3 linked regions of the Rattus norvegicus genome follow. The protein of the gene in region 3 purifies or fractionates together with the protein of the main gene of each other region. This does not show direct contact. Links are inferred from orthologs where the notes say so. Each region holds a gene or a part of one and is shown on either strand. Other genes may lie near its edges.

Region 1 (3,308 bases), on a different chromosome or scaffold from region 3:
TTTTTTTTGGGGGGGGGGCGGTATTTTGTGGTAAAGACCCGTGTGACCCAAGATTCCTTTTTTCTCATACTGGAACCCTAGGCAGCAGTTGCTAATTGACTGAGTTAGCAATAGTTATACAGTACCTTGGGGCCTTTTGTCCATGATTCTCACAAAAAGAATGCATCAGGGATGAGATTATATTATCTAATGTTGAGATGAGGAAACTGGGGCTTACACTGCTGAAATCTCTTGCTGCAGTCCTTGCTTTGAATTGGAAAGTCAGGGGGCTGAAGCAATGGTTCAGAAGTTAAGAGCTCTGGCTACTCTTCCAGCAGACCTGGATTCATTTCCCAGCAATCACAGGGTGGATCACAACCATCTGTAACTTCAGTCCCAAGAGATCCAATGCCCTTTTCTGGCTTTGCTGTATTATTTTATTTATCTTACATGTTTTGTCTTGTCATGTGGCAAGCCCAAGGGGCCATTAGGTGCAACTTACAAACTGACTTCTGACAGTGGTATGTTAAGAAGCCAGCCCTACAGTGCTTATATTCCAGAAAAAAAATTAAAAAAAAAAAAAAACATGTGCCACTTTAAGAGCATTAGAACTAGGGTTTGGAGAAGTATGATAAAAGTTGAATGTGTTTGACCAACATCACCAACTACCTAAAGCTGCTAAAGAAATCTTTGGGCCCCAGCTTGGCCCAAAGATACATTGTCCTAGGGAAGTTACCAAAATCAGAGAGAGTATGCAGCAGCCAGGGGTCTCATGTGTGGCATTCAAGCTCACCTATACTCACTACTGTGCAGACAGCTATGCTCTCTGTAATACTTACATATTTGTTTAATACTTCAGGGAGGAAAAGTCAGAAGACCAGGATCTCCAGGGCCTCAAAGAGAAACCCCTGAAGTTTAAGAAGGTGAAGAAAGACAAGAAGGAAGACAAAGAGGGCAAACATGAACCACTACAGCCTTCAGCCCACCATTCTGCAGAGCCAGCAGAGGCAGGCAAAGCAGAGACATCAGAAAGCTCAGGCTCTGCCCCAGCAGTACCAGAAGCCTCTGCTTCTCCCAAACAGCGACGTTCCATCATTCGTGACCGGGGACCTATGTATGATGACCCCACCTTGCCTGAAGGTTGGACGCGAAAGCTTAAACAGAGGAAGTCTGGTCGCTCTGCTGGAAAGTATGATGTATATTTGATCAAGTAAGTAAGAGCAAGTCTTGTGTCTACAGAACAGGGAAGGCCAGGTGGGTGGGAAGGCTAGGATGCAAAAGCTTTATTGCACTGAAATGGCTTCCCAAAGAGGCTGGACATCATGCCTTGGTTAAAATGCAGAAATGTGTTGGTGTTGGGTTAAGTCTGGGTACCAACCAACAGATTGGACCCAGCCCAATGTTCACCAAGTACCAGGCCTCACCCGTTTGGTTTCAGTATTGTGGAGAAGCAGGAAGTACAGAGAAGTGTGCTTGAAAGTGGGCAGGTCCTCTGTTTTCAGATTCAGCTGCATTGGCTTCTGAGCAAGCTGTAACATGATTTCTACTATGCATCTGACCTAGGTGTGCCCTCCAATAATTTTAGCACTTCAGTTTGTTGTTCATTTACAATGTCTTAGAAGAAAGCTTGTCAGTACTACATTTTCTAAGTCAGTCTCTACGTTATCAAAAAGCTTCTGACTATTGTTTGTCTCTCTGTTTGTCTCTACAGTCCCCAGGGAAAAGCCTTTCGCTCTAAAGTAGAATTGATTGCATATTTTGAAAAGGTGGGAGACACCTCCTTGGACCCTAATGATTTTGACTTCACTGTAACTGGGAGAGGGAGCCCTTCCAGGAGAGAACAGAAACCACCTAAGAAGCCCAAATCTCCCAAAGCTCCAGGAACTGGCAGGGGTCGGGGACGCCCGAAAGGGAGCGGCACTGGGAGACCAAAGGCAGCAGCATCAGAAGGTGTTCAAGTGAAAAGGGTCCTGGAGAAGAGCCCTGGGAAACTTCTCGTCAAGATGCCTTTCCAAGCATCACCTGGGGGTAAGGGTGAGGGAGGTGGGGCTACCACATCTGCGCAGGTCATGGTGATCAAACGCCCTGGCAGAAAGCGAAAAGCTGAAGCTGACCCCCAGGCCATTCCTAAGAAACGGGGTAGAAAGCCTGGGAGTGTGGTGGCAGCTGCTGCTGCAGAGGCCAAAAAGAAAGCTGTGAAGGAATCTTCTATACGGTCTGTGCAGGAGACTGTGCTCCCCATCAAGAAGCGCAAGACCCGGGAAACCGTCAGCATTGAGGTCAAGGAGGTGGTGAAGCCCCTGCTGGTGTCTACACTTGGTGAGAAGAGTGGAAAGGGACTGAAGACATGCAAGAGCCCTGGGCGTAAAAGCAAGGAGAGCAGCCCCAAGGGGCGCAGCAGCAGTGCCTCCTCACCACCTAAGAAGGAGCACCATCATCACCACCATCACGCAGAGTCCCCAAAGGCCCCCATGCCATTGCTTCCACCTCCACCCCCACCTGAGCCTCAGAGCTCTGAGGACCCCATCAGCCCCCCTGAGCCTCAGGACTTGAGCAGCAGCATCTGCAAAGAGGAGAAGATGCCCCGAGCAGGCTCACTGGAAAGCGATGGCTGCCCCAAGGAGCCAGCTAAGACTCAGCCCATGGTTGCTGCCGCCGCCACCACCACCACCACCACCACCACCACAGTTGCAGAAAAGTACAAACACCGAGGGGAGGGAGAGCGCAAAGACATTGTTTCATCCTCCATGCCGAGGCCAAACAGAGAGGAGCCTGTGGACAGCCGGACGCCCGTGACCGAGAGAGTTAGCTGACTTTACATAGAGCGGATTGCAAAGCAAACCAACAAGAATAAAGGCAGCTGTTGTCTCTTCTCCTTATGGGTAGGGCTCTGACAAAGCTTCCCGATTAACTGAAATAAAAAATATTTTTTTTTCTTTCAGTAAACTTAGAGTTTCGTGGCTTCGGGGTGGGAGTAGTTGGAGCATTGGGATGTTTTTCTTACCGACAAGCACAGTCAGGTTGAAGACCTAACCAGGGCCAGAAGTAGCTTTGCACTTTTCTAAACTAGGCTCCTTCAACAAGGCTTGCTGCAGATACTACTGACCAGACAAGCTGTTGACCAGGCACTCCCCACAACAACAACCCCCTCCCTCCTCACCCCACCCCTATCCCCTGTGTGCTCATTAGAGAGGGCAATTGAGAGGACACTCCCATTTTTGGTGCCACTGATGCCCTGTCCATAGCTTCCCTGACTTTTACACCACCCCAACTCCCAATCTGAGGGACTGGGAGGTGTGACGCAGGAGAAACTATATAGGACTCTTGGG
Region 2 (3,623 bases), on a different chromosome or scaffold from region 3:
CGCTGCTCCTGTACATAGGCCCCTTGGCCGTCCCTTGGGCTTCAGTCCTCACTTCTTCCTCAGCTGCTCTGACCCTCTCCCACCGCTCACATTGCTTCCCTCGTTTCTTTGGTTCATGGAACTTGAGTCCCTCCTCTTAACCTCTGAGCTCATCCAGCGAGGACCCCGCTGAGCCTGGGTGGGGAGGGTGTGCATCTGTGGAATGCCCCATGCTCTGGCTTTGGCTGTTCCCAGAGGTGCCCCTCAGCTTCCGTTTTCTGGCCAGCAAGTCTGGGCCCTGATTCCATTCCTCCTTCCGTCCCTCAGGACAGTGGGGGCTGGACACCCATCATCTGGGCAGCCGAGCACAAGCACATCGACGTGATCCGTATGCTGCTGACCCGGGGCGCCGACGTCACCCTTACCGACAACGTGAGGGGCACTCAAGGGAGCTGGGGGGACTGGTGGGGAGCAGGGGGACCCCGATCCTGTCACCTGCAACCCGATCTCTGCCCCTCACCTCCACAGGAGGAAAACATCTGCCTGCACTGGGCTTCCTTCACGGGTAGTGCCGCTATTGCCGAGGTCCTCCTGAATGCCCAGTGCGACCTCCATGCTGTCAACTACCACGGGGACACGCCCCTGCACATAGCCGCCAGGGAGAGCTACCATGACTGCGTTCTGTAAGCCCCAGCTTCCGGACCCACCTCCCCACACCCCACTCCCGGCACCCACACCCCACTGTCCAGTCTCTGACTCAGGTTTTCTATCCCTCTCAGGTTGTTCCTGTCCCGTGGAGCCAACCCTGAGCTTCGGAACAAAGAAGGGGACACGGCGTGGGATCTGACCCCAGAGCGCTCCGATGTGTGGTTTGCACTGCAGCTCAATCGCAAGCTTAGGCTCGGGGTAGGGAACCGGGCTGTCCGCACCGAGAAGATCATCTGCCGGTGAGTGCAGCCCAGATGCCACAGCTCCTCCACGTCTTCAGTCTCAGGCCCCTTGCCAGACGCAGGACGTCCCAGTAGCTCCTACAATCATCTTGCCTCTAAGGGAGGTGGAAATAAGGGGCCCTCAGTGGGCAAGGGAACCTGCAACCAAGCCTGACAAACTGAGTGCAGTCCCTGGAGAGCCATGTTTTTCTCTGGCTTACGAACACACAGCATGGCACAGTCGCACACCTGAAAAAAGCTAAAGGCAGGGTGTGGTGGCCACCCCTGTAATCTCAGCACGCAGGAGGCAGACGGTTGGTTGTTTTGAACCTGAGGCCAGCTTGGTTTGTATGTATTAGTGAGTTCCAGGCCAAGGAGGGCCACATGGTGAGACCTTATCTTTCTTAAAATAAATGAAAAATAAATAAATATGTAAGAAAAATAAAGAAAAGGACATGTTTTCCAAGCCTTAGAGGTAGCTGAGGCAGGAGGATTGTGAGTTTGAGGCAGATACCCAAATAAGAGTTTCAGACAGGCTGGAGAGATGGCTCAGAGGCTAAGAACACTGACTGCTCTTCCAGAGGTCCTGAGTTCAATTCCCAGCAACCACATGGTGACTCACAGCCATCTGAAAGGGGATCTTCCGCCCTCTTCTGGCCTGCAGGTGTACATGCAGATAGAGCGCTCATAAACATAAGATAAATAAAGCTTTTTAAAAAAAAAAAAAAAAAGAATTTCAGACAGGAGCTGGGTGTCACCTGTGACCCCCTCCTATTCTGAAGGCTGGAGGAAGACCTGCCTCTTGAGCCCACGGGTTGGAGATCAGTATTTGTTATTATTGAGACTCAGACCTTAAAAAGGAAAATCAAACCAAACCAAAAAACCCCGCAAGGCTAGTGTGAGGCAACCCAACTACTGAATGTGCATTCTGAGTTCAAGCCAAGAACCCACCAGGAGAGAGCTGCCTCCTGAAGGTTGCCCTCTGACCTTAATTCCACACTGTATCCTGTGTGAGCGCGAAAGGTCCTCAAGCCAGGCGTGGTGGTTTAGACCTTTAATCCACTACTCTGGAGGGAGGCGAAGGCAGATCTCTGGGCTCTAGGGCTACACAGTGAGATGCTGTCTCAAGAAGGGAGCGGTTGGAGGCCACCAGGAATGTTCACTGTCTTTGAGGAGAGGTTTTTTTTTTTTTTTTTTTTTTTAAGACAGGGTTTCTCTGTGTAGCCCCGGCTGTCCTGGAAGTCACTCTGTAGACCAGGCTGGCCTTGAACTCACAGAGATCCCTGTGCCTCTGCCTCCCTAGTGCTGGGATTAAAAGGAGTGCATCACTCTGCCAGAAAGGACTGTGACCTCTAATGTTAGCACTGGGGAGGAGTAGCAGATGGATCTGAGTTCTAGGATAGCCAGAGCTACAGAATGAGAGTGTCTCAAAGAAAGGAAGGAAGAGGCAACACGTTAAAAAGTTAAAAAAGGGGGTCGGGGATTTAGCTCAGTGGTAGAGCACTTGCCTAGCAAGGGCAAGGCCCTGGGTTCGGTCCTCAGCTCCGGGGGGGGGGGGGGGGGGTAAAAAAGGGATCTGGAGAGATGGCTCAGCGGTTAAGAGCACTGGCTGCTCTTCCAGAGGTCCTGAGTTCAATTCCCAGCACCCACAGGGTGGCTCACAGCCATCTGTAACTTCAGATCCATGACCCAGAGGATCCATGCCTCCTTCTGACCTCTGCGGGCAGCAGGCGTGCATGTGGGGTGCATACAGAAGTGCAGGCAAAGTATTCTTAACACGTAAAATGAGAAAATGTTTTTTCAGGTGAGCAGGAATACTAGTGCGTCCTGTGCTAGCTGGGTGCTTGCAGTCTGTGTCAGTGCTACACTAAGGAAGCGGGAAGGCCATGGTCTCACTTTTAAGGCCAGCCAAGCGAGGCATTATACCAAGGCTCAGCCTCCAACTAAAATTTAAAAGTCCAGAGTCCAGCAGGGTGATGACATATACCTCTAATCCTAGCCACTTGGGAGCTAGGGCAGGAGAGTCAAGAGTCCAAGTCATTCTTGGCTATCTCGCTATTTGGGGCCAGCAGGCTATATGATGCTGTATCTCACAGAGGAATATAAGGGGCCGGGGCCGGGGCCGGGGCTGGAGTAGAGTGTTTATTGGCCTCACATGCACAATGTTGTTGGGCCTCACCAAGAAACAAAGATAACCTGTGCGATGTTGAGGACATAATTATTTCTAAGCTGAGATTGTTTCCCTGGTGTCTTAACTTCCCTTTTTTTGTTTTCAAGAATGTCTCACCGCATGCACTGGGATTAAAGGTGCCACCACCCCAGCACCCTTATACGGAGGAATCCTTGAGCTTCCCCTCAGGAATGCTCCGGCCCCTACCTAACTTTACTGCCCTTCTGTAGGGATGTAGCCCGAGGCTATGAGAATGTGCCCATTCCCTGTGTCAATGGCGTGGATGGGGAGCCATGCCCAGAGGACTATAAGTACATCTCCGAGAACTGTGAAACGTCCACCATGAACATCGACCGAAACATCACTCACCTGCAGGTGAGACACAGGCCCCACCGGGCTCGAGGGAGCAGGGGCTGAAGGAGCCTGATGTGGGAGTCCCTCCACACTGGGGCACATGAAGACTCCCCCTCTCGCTGGGACCGTCACCAGCCAGCGTCCTGAAACGAACCCATGCTCCAGGGGAGAGCCCTCTCACTCACACCACT
Region 3 (3,749 bases):
ATAAAAAAAAGAAATTAACCGAGGTCATTCACCTGTATCTTAGGGGATGGAACAAGAATCTGGTCCCACGATATCTAGCTCCCAAGTCTGTGTTTCCAACCAATTCCTTAAACTACTCTTCAAAAGTAAAACCATTAAAGTATCAGCTCCATAATAGGGACAGTGTGTGGTCTGCTGCCTGTTTTGATTTTCATGACAGTATGTAAATGGAAAAAGACAGATTATGGCTCATGGACAAAGAAACCAAAGCTTTCTAATCTCTACAAAGTCTTAAAGACTGAAAAAGAAAGCACTTACTCAGAAAAGCCTTTCCACTTCAGCAGATACTCCACTTGCCCTTTAACCATGCGCCTGTCCAACACCTTTTCCACCACATACTCCTCCTCATCCTCTGATGAAGAGCTGTCGGCTGTCCTCTTGGTCTTCTTTCCCATGTTGGGTATGTGTTGGTCCACCTAAAGGAGTGCGGCCACCAGGTTCCTGAAAAGGGGGAAAGATGAAATGGTTTAATCTATCTGAGGGTTAAAATTGTCTCTTTGTGATGGAACAGAGGATATAACACCAGTGAGACACTTATCCTTCTCTTTGATCTACAATTATTATATGACAATGCTACAAATTTAACATGGGTCAATCCACACTTCTCTAACAACTTCTCTTCAGCTGGAGATCAAAATTATTAGATGGAATAATTGTTTCACTCTTTAATTTCATATTCCCAAAGAGCAAACAGCATGCATGTTACTCCTGACCATTTCTACATCTACTTGTGAGCCAGGAACTCAAAAAGAAATATGGAAAGCCTTCAATTAAAGAAACAAAGAATAAAAAAAATCTTTTTCCATCAAGGTGAATAAAAGACCCTTTCCCCCCAATGCACCTGAATTTAATTTTTCTATACTCTGAACTCTCAGGATACACACACACACATCCTGCTTGGGCCATCTCTCACATTTCCATTGAATTGGTACATTTCCCTTAAACAATTTGAGCCTGTCCTTTCAGATTATCTATCAGCTCACAGAAGCAAGGCTGACAGCTCAAACATACTAAGTCTTCTTTTTAGCAAGCTCAGTTGGGGATAAAAGGGAAGAGGGGCAGAGAAAAAAATTTCAGAATTACTCACTGGACTAGTCTGTAATTCCCAGAGCTCAACTAACCTAAATAGTTCAGGAGGTACCTTGTCTCTTAACTGAAGTTGACTTTGGGCCAAAGGAAGAGGAAGGAGAAGTCTGGCCCCAGACTCTGCATCAACATGAAGCCTCCTAAGAACACAGAGGACTTATTCATCAGCCTCAGGCCCCAGAAAAGCCACAGCAAGGCAGCACAAATGGAAACTGAGTTAAGCTCAGAAATATGCACATCAGGAGTGCTCACAGAGAATCTAGTTTTTAAAATTCCCACACTGTTGTTACCATAATCATTTTAAAATAATTCTTTAACAATGTTAAATGGCACCCATAGTCTGAATTACCAAGTAGCAAGAATTGATTCTCAGTTGACTCCATTGTTATTTTGCTATAATCTCTAAAGATATTTTTCAGAACATTCCCATCTTGGCCAGAAAGCCAATCTCAGAAATAAAAAGGGCAGCTAATCTTAAAATCATGTTCAAGTCAAAGAAGCAGAAGTTGTATTTAACAATTTATTTAAATTATTAATTTGTAAGAAATTATTACAAAAATAAAGTGTTGAAAATCCTACCTATAAAACTGGTTAGCAAATAGGTATGCCCGCCTCAAAAACTGCTTATATTAATTTCTGACCTATGGTAACTTTATTTGAGAAAGGCTTGGGGGAATGTAGTTAAGGGGTTTTGAAATAATCTTTCCATTTATTTAGAAGACTCATAAACATCAAAAAATATATAAGGTTTATTTAAAATAAACACAGCCTCCGACCTCACCACAGACAGGAAATGTCATATTCCAGGGAGAGTACCCCACCCCCACCCCCACTCACCTTGGAATTTCCGGGAGCTGAGCACTTTAGGTCAGAGCGCTGGGTTAAAACCAGCCCCATGTTGGAAGCATGCAGTTAAGCATTGTGGCTATGGCCTTCCCTGCCTCACCAGGAAAAAAAAAAAAAAAAAAAAAAAAAAAACAACAAGGATTTACATATGTGTTCTTCAGTTTGAGGAAGAGAATTTTTTTCTTTATACCTTTATGTTGAAGAGAAGCCCTCAAAGTAGATCAATAGGGGTTCCCTACCTTACCTACCGGATCGCCCCAGTTCGTTCTTTCCCTCTGGGCTAACAGGAGGGGCCTCCCCTCCCAGGTCTGGGGCTTGGCGGGCTGGCAGCTCCCCCGCCCCCACCCAGCTGCCTGGGCGCCACTGCGCAGCTGTCCCAGTCCGTTGCCATGACAACTGGCAGCCGTACTAGACTAAGGGGGGGAGAGGCAAATGAAAAAGTTAAAAGGCTTAACTTTCCTTTTCACTGCAGACTGGGTGGAGAAGTTGGAAGGTATCTTCCCCTGGCCCCGAGGCTAAGGCTTTCAGAGCTCAAGGGAGTTAGGTTCTTTGTTTTAAAGTCCAAAATTTAGGCTTATTTCTCTAAAAGCGCTGTGAATTAATCAATAGCATTTTAGGACCACCTAACAGGATTATCGCTCACTGGAAGAAGGGGAAAAGCAAGATTAGGTACTACAACAGATCAGGACAATCAACCCTTTATCTAGAATCATTCGGGACAAAGGCTTTCCCATCATCTGTCCAGTTAATTAAAATTGCTTGAGGGGGAAAAGTAACAGGAAAGGGAGAGGGAAAATATTTTACTATGTAACATCTCTTGTTTGAGAGAATTACAACAGAACCCAAAGACTTTAAACAAACAATGACCAGGGATCAAGCTTTGTGATTTTGGGAGCTGATTATGGAAACCAGGGCATTATACTGTTGTTTTATTTAAAAAGCAAAACAACAAACCAAACAAACAAAAAACAAAGAGCCAGGATATGTTTGATAGAGCCAGGTACGGTGAGGTGGGAGGGGGTGCCTCTATGGGCCCAAGCTAAGGCATCCCTTCCCCCTGAGGTACCAGCCATATAGTATCAGCTAGAGTATGGAACAGAGTTTATTTAGGGCATGGGAAATGGAGTTGGGAAGGGAGTTGAGAGAGAGAGGCAGGGAGGGAGGGAAGGAGGGAGGGAGGGAGAGAGTGAGGAAAGGTCTGCCAGGAACAAGTGGAGGGAGGGGGAAAGGGAGAAAGTGGTCAGGGAGAGTATGAGAATAAGAGCAAGAGAGAGGAGGTGGCAAGCAGCCCCTATTATAGTTAGCAAGGCATACCTGGCTGTTGCCAGGTAACTGTGGGGAGGAGGAGCCTAGAAGAAATGCTAACCATACAGACTACTGAGCTACACCCCCATACCACCAAAGGAAAAAAAAAAGAAAAAGAAAAGAAAAAGAGGGCTGGAGAGATGGCTCAGTGGTTAAGAGCACTGACTGCTTTTCCAGAGGACCTGAGTTCAAATCCCAGCAACCACATGGTGGCTCACAACCATCTGTAATGAGAACTGATACCTTCTTCTGGTGTGTCTGAAGACAGGTACAGTGCACTCATATAAATAAAATAAATAAATCTTAAAAACAAAAAAGAAAAGAAAAGAAAAAGGAAAAAACCCTTTCAACTGAATTTACAGATGGGAAAAATTAGTTCCTTAGTTTAAAGGCGAGGGAGAACAAGTTGGCAACAGCCATCACAGTATTTATTAGTTATTCTTATAATGCTATAAAGCAGACTTTTAGTAATT

The links.
Region 1: the proteins of Cbx5 (region 3) and Mecp2 purify together in Homo sapiens (affinity purification with western blotting; 3 studies listed by BioGRID, with this or other methods). This does not show direct contact. The link is inferred for Rattus norvegicus from reciprocal best matches to the Homo sapiens genes CBX5 and MECP2.
Region 2: the proteins of Cbx5 (region 3) and Ehmt2 purify together in Homo sapiens (affinity purification with mass spectrometry; 3 studies listed by BioGRID and IntAct, with this or other methods). This does not show direct contact. The link is inferred for Rattus norvegicus from reciprocal best matches to the Homo sapiens genes CBX5 and EHMT2.

What each region holds. Positions count from the first base shown.
Region 1 is NC_086039.1:156,940,743-156,944,050, reverse strand, and holds the end of Mecp2 (methyl-CpG-binding protein 2), read left to right. Parts: intron 1-838; coding exon 839-1,189; intron 1,190-1,690; coding exon 1,691-2,792; 3' UTR 2,793-2,807; downstream 2,808-3,308. UniProt on the Homo sapiens protein: Chromosomal protein that binds to methylated DNA. It can bind specifically to a single methyl-CpG pair. It is not influenced by sequences flanking the methyl-CpGs.
Region 2 is NC_086038.1:3,927,236-3,930,858, reverse strand, and holds part of Ehmt2 (histone-lysine N-methyltransferase EHMT2), read left to right. Parts: intron 1-306; coding exon 307-411; intron 412-507; coding exon 508-662; intron 663-758; coding exon 759-926; intron 927-3,308; coding exon 3,309-3,453; intron 3,454-3,623. UniProt on the Homo sapiens protein: Histone methyltransferase that specifically mono- and dimethylates 'Lys-9' of histone H3 (H3K9me1 and H3K9me2, respectively) in euchromatin.
Region 3 is NC_086025.1:136,226,866-136,230,614, forward strand, and holds the start of Cbx5 (chromobox protein homolog 5), read right to left. Parts: upstream 2,254-3,749; 5' UTR 2,211-2,253; intron 2,067-2,210; exon of another isoform or gene 2,063-2,066; 5' UTR 1,963-2,062; intron 481-1,962; 5' UTR 435-480; coding exon 298-434; intron 1-297. UniProt on the Homo sapiens protein: Component of heterochromatin that recognizes and binds histone H3 tails methylated at 'Lys-9' (H3K9me), leading to epigenetic repression. In contrast, it is excluded from chromatin when 'Tyr-41' of histone H3 is phosphorylated (H3Y41ph).